2 linked regions of the Nothobranchius furzeri genome follow. The protein of the gene in region 1 purifies or fractionates together with the protein of each later gene. This does not show direct contact. Links are inferred from orthologs where the notes say so. Each region holds a gene or a part of one and is shown in the gene's direction. Other genes may lie near its edges.

Region 1 (4,070 bases):
AATTTGAATGTGCATGTAAACAAATTATGTTAATGGGAATAACAAAGTCTATTTTCTTATTACAGTCTACCTGATAATTAAAAGTCACGCCCCTACGTCTAGTTTGAATCCTGCTTTCGCTTTAGCAGATTGTGGAATGCAATACATGACGATTTACTACTTAATTCCAAAAGAAAACAAAAAGTAAGTTAAGCAGGAGAAGGGGGAAGGAGCAAGCCACTCAGACAATAACATGCGCGGGAAAGGGAGGGCGGAGGGGCAAAAGAAGTCTTTTTATCTCTGGTTTCCCACATCCTGTGAACTGCTGCAAACGCGGCCACCCAATTTGAAAGAATGCGTGGAATGCGCATTTTCTCCCCCTGCGCCGCTTTGATGCGCACCCAGTCTAAAGGCGTCTTCAATAGAGCGCAATCCCGGGCTCTGCAGAGCACTGCTGCCAGTAAGCTGCAGTGTTTAACGCGAAAATAATCAGGTAAACGGCGGGCTGCAAGAACAGACGGAGCCGAACATGATGAAGTGCTCTCAGAGTTGCACGTGTCACTTGATGCGGGAAAACAAATCCTGGTTTCCGAGTCAAATTGTGACTTTGAAAGCAGCAGGAAGCTCCCCGTAGTCAAATATGAGACACGTATGAGTAAACGCATGCATGCAATTCTGACTTTAAAGATGAATAATTATATTAATACGCATCAGTGTGTGATATGATCGCTGTGCCGCTGACATTTGTTTCTTTAGGTGATTTAAAACTGCAAACACTTATTAAAATTAATATTAATGTAGTTACAATAAAATTAATAAAGTTGCTGAAATAAATAAATAGAACTGTGCAAGGCTGGTGTTTTGTATTGTCCTCCTAGCGTCTTCTCCTTTCCAACAGTGGCGCTTGGCTTTGAATTTGCATTTCCCTCCAACATGAATCCAGAATTATGCTTTATTCCAACCCTTTTTGGCGCGTTTCGATTCCCGCCACGTCTGTCTGGGCCGGCCGGTTGAAACCTTGTGTCTGGGTTCGTTCGCTGATTGACGTGAGATTCGAACGGTTCCGAAAGCGAACCTGGATTCCTATTGGTTTAGAGAGCGGAAAGAGGCGGGCGCGCGGCATAAACGTCATCGCGTAGGCCACGCCCTCTTACTACTGCCTTATAGCCGTCCTCCCCCTGCTTTTTGTTTCCAGGAGCCGGTGTCTGGCTGAGGCGGTCGTCTGTTGTGTCTTTGCGGGTTTATTCTCCTCCTCTGTTTACAAACACCACCGGGAACGACCCGTTCGTTGCTGTGAGAGAACTCGCGTCCAGCCACCGAGTCGACATTTTTATTATTTATTTTTATTTATCTGGACCACGCGGCGGATTTGCCCTCTTTCCCCCCCTGGATGAAAGGATTTGCCGCATTTTGTTCTACTCGCAACGTGGACTGAAAGCTTCCCAACAGCGCGGGAGAGTCGAGCTGCCCGGACTAGAACACCGAGGAGGAGCCGTTTGAACCAACCCGCCGTGGTGGATTCGGTTACCGGAATGCTGCTGTCTAAGCTGGCCCACATCTCTAACGTAGACATGCCGGTGAAGCTCCAGGTTCAACAAGGTTAGACGCCCTCAGTGCCTTCCCGGAGGACCGGGGCTGCAGCAGCTAACGCGGCTGCACGCATATTTACCGGTCTCAGGCCAACACCGTCTTCCTAAAGGGATGTTTACCGGTTTTTGTGTGTTCGCAGTGAAGGAGAAGGAGCCTTTCGAGAAGCTTTATCAGGTCGGTGCCGTGATGGGCAGCGGCGGCTTCGGCACCGTGTACTCCGGTACGAGGGTTTCCGACGGGACTCCGGTCAGTACATCCTGTTTTCCTCCGTTAAACCAGCCTTTCTCATGCCTGTGCTGTTGTGTTCGTTCCGTCTAACCGGGGCTGCTTCTCGTTCAGGTCGCTGTCAAACACGTCGCCAAGGACAGGGTCACCGAGTGGGGAGATCTGGTAAGAGACATTTTGTACACATTCCTCTAGAAGCGGCGGAGTCCGTCTTTAATCGTTTTTGGTGATTTGGTGTGATTCACGTCGAAGGTAGACGCCGTTTCGGCGCGTTTTCTGCGACCTAACGAGCGGTTTTCACGGTTCTTTCAGCCCAACGGCTCCCGGGTTCCCATGGAGATCGTGCTGCTGAAGAAGGTGGGCACGGGCTTCCGCGGCGTCATCAAGATGCTGGACTGGTTCGAGCGACCGGACAGCTTCATCATCGTCATGGAGAGGCCCGAGAACGTCAAGGACCTGTTCGACTTCATCACCGAGAAGGGCGCGCTGCCGGAGGAGCTGGCGCGCAGCTTTTTCCGCCAGGTGCTGGAGGCTGTGCGGCACTGCCACAACTGCGGGGTGGTGCACCGCGACATCAAGGACGAGAACATCCTCATCGACCTCCGCACCGGCGAGATGAAGCTCATCGACTTCGGCTCGGGAGCGCTGCTGAAAGACACCGTTTACACGGACTTTGACGGTGAGATTTCGTGTTTGTTTTCCGTGTGTGTGTGCGTGCGCGCGTGTGTGTGTGTGGTCTTGAGTAGAAATTCCTGGGTTGTGTCATTTCTGACACACAGATTCTGTCGCCCCCTATTGGCCGGAAGTGGCATTTTTACAACTCAAAGTTTGTAAACAAAGTCACATGTCTGCTCCCCCCTCCCCCCCCTCACACAAACACTGCCAGTCACGCAGCCTGGCACCTGAGTCCAGATAAAAGCCTAGCAAACAAGCCCGGCTGCTATCTGTATCTGCCCCTGCAGGGCTTTTATTTTCACTAACCGGCTGCTGTTCGTGTGTAAATACACCTGCACCGTTTTATTTCTACCCTAATGTGTATCTGTGTGTTTTTGTCTGACAGGTACCAGAGTGTACAGCCCCCCAGAGTGGATCAGATATCATCGGTACCACGGGCGATCTGCTACCATCTGGTCCCTGGGTGTCCTGCTGTACGACATGGTGTGCGGGGACATCCCGTTCGAGCACGACGAGGAGATCACGAAGGCACACATTCTTTTCCGAAGGAGGGTCTCTCCTGGTGAGCTCATGCCGGGTGGAATATCTTGTTTCCTTCATGCGCTGTGAACTTGTGGACTAATTGGTTTCCTCTTTTGTCCTCCCAGAATGCCAGCAGCTGATTAAGTGGTGCCTGTCTCTGCGGCCCGCTGACCGCCCGTCCCTGGAGGACATCGTTAACCACTCGTGGATGCAGAACACCTCCCCCTCCTCCGTAATGCCGTCCACGGCGCAGACGGAGAAGACGACCACCGAGATCAGGCTGCACAGCATCGGCCACGAGCCCACCGCCTTCACGCCCACCCCCGTGGCAGTGGCCCGGTGATGACGGCAAACCACAGAGGCTATTCCAAAAGACTTGATGTAATGAGCTCAAAACGGGGCGAGAGAGAGGGGCGTTCCCACGCCCGAGCCAGAGAAAGTGTAAGGAACTACACGTGCTGGAGGCCGTCGCCGACCGTCACTTTGTGGTTCCAGTCTGGCAGACCGAACCCGCTCCTGCTGAGTCGCATCGATGCCGTGGCACGGTCCTGGCTGGACTCTGGTCCAGGCAGCGGGTGTCCGGGAGCCCGCAGGGCGCAAGTCGAGGCTGTTCTGTGCAACAGCGGGCGGACAGTCCGAGTTATGTAATCTCTCAACACCCTGTTCACTTCCCAGCTCCGTTTTTGTCACAGCGGAGCGGGAAGAGCGGAGGCGTTGGACGAGATGCTGGAGTTAAATAAGTGCCTTCTGTGAAATTATCTAGGGAGACCTGAGAATACTTGAATCTGTTCTGTACTTTTGTGCGAGGCTCTTTGTTGTTTCTGCTCTCCTGGGCATAGATCAGTAAAGCCCACGCCTTTTACAGCCACCACCATCACCACTACTCCAATGTCATTAGCAACCAGACGACCTCATGGCTCCGGCAGCAAACCAGTCATTACCTAGAGAAACACTGGACTTACCTCGGTCTATTCACGTCTGCACCCACCTCTGCTCCACAACTCTGCTTCCTCCTGATTCCTCAGATCCACCTGAACGCACACAACAATGCAAACGCATACCAGACCCCCCCCTCCGCT
Region 2 (4,194 bases), on another chromosome or scaffold:
CGCGCAAAAATATACTTGTTTTCAATTACATTTATTGGGCCCACTTACTTTTTCTTAGGCCCACCCACAAATGAGTTTCTACAATAATGGTGACATATGACAGACTTCTCTGAGCTCCGCAGCCATTACACTTTTCACCTCGCGCACCCCCTAGCGGCAGCTCGCGCACCCCCAGGGGTGCGTGCACCACACTTTGGAAATCCCTGCTCTAGATGAAGAACCTACAAATTCTGAAAAATCTCAAGCATTGTTTATGCAAGAAGCTGCTGTCACTCAGGATTTGGCACAGAAGCTGACTGACAGCATCAGTGAACTGCAGACAGCTTCAAAAAAAGAGGAAATGCTGCAAGTACTGATTATTTGCTAACTAATAACTGTTTCCATTAAATGTGTTTATGGAATGGTTGTAAACCTTATAAAATACTTGTACTTCAGTAAAACATGTCAAACAATAACAATGAATCCACAAACAAACAAACAAACAAACCTTCTAACACCACAACTAAATCATAAAATATTAAACTCACTGGAACCCTGCTGAAGGGAGTGTGGACACATAAGTGCCAACCACACCCACATGTTTTGGACATGCAACAGAATAAAACCATTTTAGGATCAAAAATCTATTGAAATGACAAAATTATTTGGATATAAAATACCCCAAAATGAGATGATTTTAATGTTTTGTAACTTAACTGAGAATGTGGTCAAGAGAAAGGACTATCTCTGTAAAATTTTGTTAATTGCTGGTAAAAAAACAATAACCAGAACCACCAACCCTGGAACAGTGAGAGGAGACAGTGAACAATATACGATGGAACGGATCACTTTTTAGTTGAGACTGAGGGGAGAACTCTTTTTTTTAATGGGGAAAAATGGACCTCCTATCTTCAAGGGACATAGGATGCTAAAGGTAAAAATATAACTGGTTATAGGATAGAATTGGCAAAGCCCCAAGCAACTGTTTTATATTCACCCATACATTTTATTGTCATTTTTTCAATTTTGCCCTATATGGTTCTCCTTCTTTTCTTTAGTTTGTTTTTCTACCAACACAGATTTTTGTTGTATATGTTGATTAAATAAGAAAGACAAATAAATAAAAAGTAAAAAAAAAAAAAAGAAAAGAAAAAAAAGAGGAAATGCTGCAAGTATTGATTATTTGCTAACTGATAACTATTTCCATTAAACGTGTGGAATGGAATGGTTGTAAACCTTATAAAATACTTGTACTTCAGTAAAACATGTAAAAAAATAACAAAGAATCCACAACAAACAAAAACTCACTCACTCACTCACTCACTCACTTTCAGTTAAAGACTTTTGACTAAACGTTTTTACCAGCCAGATATAAAAGTTCCGTCTTATTTTGAAAAGCTCAGTCTACCGGAAACAGGAAGGCGAATAGCAGTAGCTGTTCTAAAGCTAAAACGCTAACTTCTCCGAGAGCAATTTTCTTAGCTTTTACTACCCGCTGTTTCATTTTTATTATCAAGAGGGGTCTACTTTATCTTAATTCCCTAAAGGTACGGTGATAGTTGAAGGTATTTTACGTTTCAGCACGTAAATTGGCTCTGCGTAGCTTAATAACAGGCCGGAATAATAAGCAGTCGACACATTTCGTAGGCCTAAAAATGAACAATTAATATTTGTGGTTCTCTTAGGTCACAAGTTAACGTGCTGCTGTAACAAGTGTGACAACTTTTAACTTTTTGCAGATAATGGCTGCGGACTGGTTAGGTAGTTTAGTGTCCATTAATTGTGGCCCAACGCTTGGGGTGTATCAAGGAGAAGTATCATCAGTGGACCAGTCAAGCCAAACCATCTCTCTAAGGCAGCCTTTTCACAACGGAGTCAAATGTCCAGTTCCCGAGGTCACATTCAGGTAAACACGGGTCTTTTCCACTGTTAGTAACTTTGTGTGATTTGCAGTTTCTAGTAACTATTGATACAATAGTTTGATTGTTTTTCCAGTGCCATTGATATAAGGGAGCTAAAGATTTTAGACATCAGAAGTGGTAATGCAAGGAGAACCTCTACTACAGCTACAAACGTGCACAGTGTTCCGGTGGCAGTCCCAAAGGGTGACCCCAGAGCTGTTGAGAAATTAAACTCTCCCCAGCAATGCTCTAAAAGTTACGGAGAGCGTCATCTAGATGCTCTGGGCCAACCCAAAGGGTTTCGTCGAAGACATAACTCATGTAAGGGCCATTTGTTCGGCGATCAAATAACTAAACAAAAAATCAATTTCTGTGGCATGATACTAATGGTTGAAGTTTTTCTAATCTCACCAGGGTCATCTAGTAGTCGAGGACCAAACCAAGCAACACCTAAAAAGAATGGAGTGAAGAACGGTCAGATGAAGCACAGAGACGATGAGTGTTTTGGGGACGGCATGGAGGATGACCTGGACACGGATTTTGACTTCGAAGGGAATCTTGCCCTTTTTGACAAAGCAGCAGTTTTCTCAGAGATTGACACATCAGAGCGGCGTAACGGGGCACGGTCACGGGGCACTCCTCAAGACCAGACACCCTCACGGTACCGCCATGATGAGAACATATTGGAGGGCAAACCAGTCGTTTACAGACAGATTATTGTACCTCAGCCTGGGGCCAAAGAGTACTGTACTGGTATGTGCTTAACATTGTAAATGGTATTATATGATAGTGTTTGGGTTTAAACTGGTTGACACCTTTCTCTATTACTTTCTACAGATTCTGGACTTGTTGTACCAAGTATTTCCTATGAACTCCACAAGCGGCTGTTGTCTGCTGCTGAGCGTCACGGCCTCTCACTGGAGCGAAGACTTGAGATGACTGGAGTGTGTGCCAGTCAGATGGCACTTACACTGTTAGGAGGGCCCAACAGGTAAATGTGTAAAGATGAAGACTAACTTCTAAATCACCTTAGAAATAAGGAAAGTTTTGAGTCAATTTCAGCACTTAAATTATTCGAGTAACTTAAATGAGCTAATTACAGATACTTCATTGGTTGTCATGACTGTGGTTTCCTCTGTGTCGACATGTTTAATTGGGACTGACATGCTGAGGCAGCCCGAAAAGTGGCTTCACTTTTTAATAATGGAGAAAAGCAAAGATTTTTTTATGCATGACTAAGGCCGACTCTGGTATAAATGATGGATGAAACAGACCAAACGGTTTTGGATCAATCAATCAATCAATACTTTATTAATCCCAGAGGTAAATTAGAGTTTCAGTATGCACAATTCAGAGATCAGACATACAGGTTGGTAGGTCGGGTTTTCACAGCATCTGTCTGCATTCCTTCATGGGGGTTTTTAGTTGCTTGCAGTTCAAGGCTACCAGGGCGTCAGATTCGGATAACAAGAATTTGTTTGGGTCAGGCTGATATAATTTTCCTCTTTGCCTTCAGTCTTTTAAACTGATCATTCCAGTCCTTCAGTGAAGCCAATTTTGGGTTTTTAAGCTTGTCCATACCGTCTGGTAACTCTCCGAGATGACGTCCATTTTGCACACTAATACCGGTATCGCAGCTAGAACATTGTCCAGCTTATGATTCACCTCGAGTAACGTCCCAGTCTGAGAAGTCTCCACACGTACGGTGCTTTCCGTGGGTGCAGGTCACCCTCCAACCGCTCCCGTCTTCCCAAATTTCCAGAAAACCAGATATCCTCCCACTCCAATCAGGAGAAATCCAGTGATCATCAGGCCGAATATCCACACGTCTTCGATATCCTCAATCGACAGCTGGGAGAGGCATATGATCTTCCACTCCTTCCGGGAATCCAACATATATCCCACTGGGTGTGTCCCCTGTGGACATGTGGGAGCCCCCCTACTCCGTTCTCAATGTTGAAAAAATCTTATCGATCGCATTGAATGACCAATTTATCAAATCCATGGTTAGTTAACAGTTTTTCAGAAGAAATGCAGAGAAGCGCTCTGTGGGCAGACAGGACAAAGAGCCTTGGGGAAAAAAAGATAAGGGAGCAAAAGAGGGAAGCGTCTGTACTCCTCGAGTGCCTGAAGAATCAGACATAAAGAAGATCAAACATAAAAAAGCATCAAACTTTTGAGTAAAAGATTGGGAACAACCTGCGTGATGCATGTAGCTGCAGCACTAGTCGCTTGTGTACCCTTTTGTTTTTGTTTCCTCAGGTATGTTCTGAGGTGTAGTTTCCAATGTTTCCTCTTTTCGATGTTAATGCAG

What was found.
Region 2: the proteins of pim1 (region 1) and edc3 purify together in Homo sapiens (affinity purification with mass spectrometry; 3 studies listed by BioGRID and IntAct, counting the BioPlex papers as one, with this or other methods). This does not show direct contact. The link is inferred for Nothobranchius furzeri from reciprocal best matches to the Homo sapiens genes PIM1 and EDC3.

What each region holds. Positions count from the first base shown.
Region 1 is NC_091755.1:49,180,548-49,184,617, forward strand, and holds pim1 (serine/threonine-protein kinase pim-1), read left to right. Parts: upstream 1-1,281; 5' UTR 1,282-1,511; coding exon 1,512-1,578; intron 1,579-1,708; coding exon 1,709-1,815; intron 1,816-1,908; coding exon 1,909-1,959; intron 1,960-2,106; coding exon 2,107-2,473; intron 2,474-2,854; coding exon 2,855-3,031; intron 3,032-3,116; coding exon 3,117-3,334; 3' UTR 3,335-3,561; downstream 3,562-4,070. UniProt on the Homo sapiens protein: Proto-oncogene with serine/threonine kinase activity involved in cell survival and cell proliferation and thus providing a selective advantage in tumorigenesis.
Region 2 is NC_091744.1:58,994,395-58,998,588, reverse strand, and holds the start of edc3 (enhancer of mRNA-decapping protein 3), read left to right. Parts: upstream 1-1,385; 5' UTR 1,386-1,526; intron 1,527-1,718; 5' UTR 1,719-1,721; coding exon 1,722-1,885; intron 1,886-1,957; coding exon of another isoform or gene 1,958-1,974; coding exon 1,975-2,201; intron 2,202-2,294; coding exon 2,295-2,633; intron 2,634-2,717; coding exon 2,718-2,871; intron 2,872-4,194. UniProt on the Homo sapiens protein: Binds single-stranded RNA. Involved in the process of mRNA degradation and in the positive regulation of mRNA decapping. May play a role in spermiogenesis and oogenesis.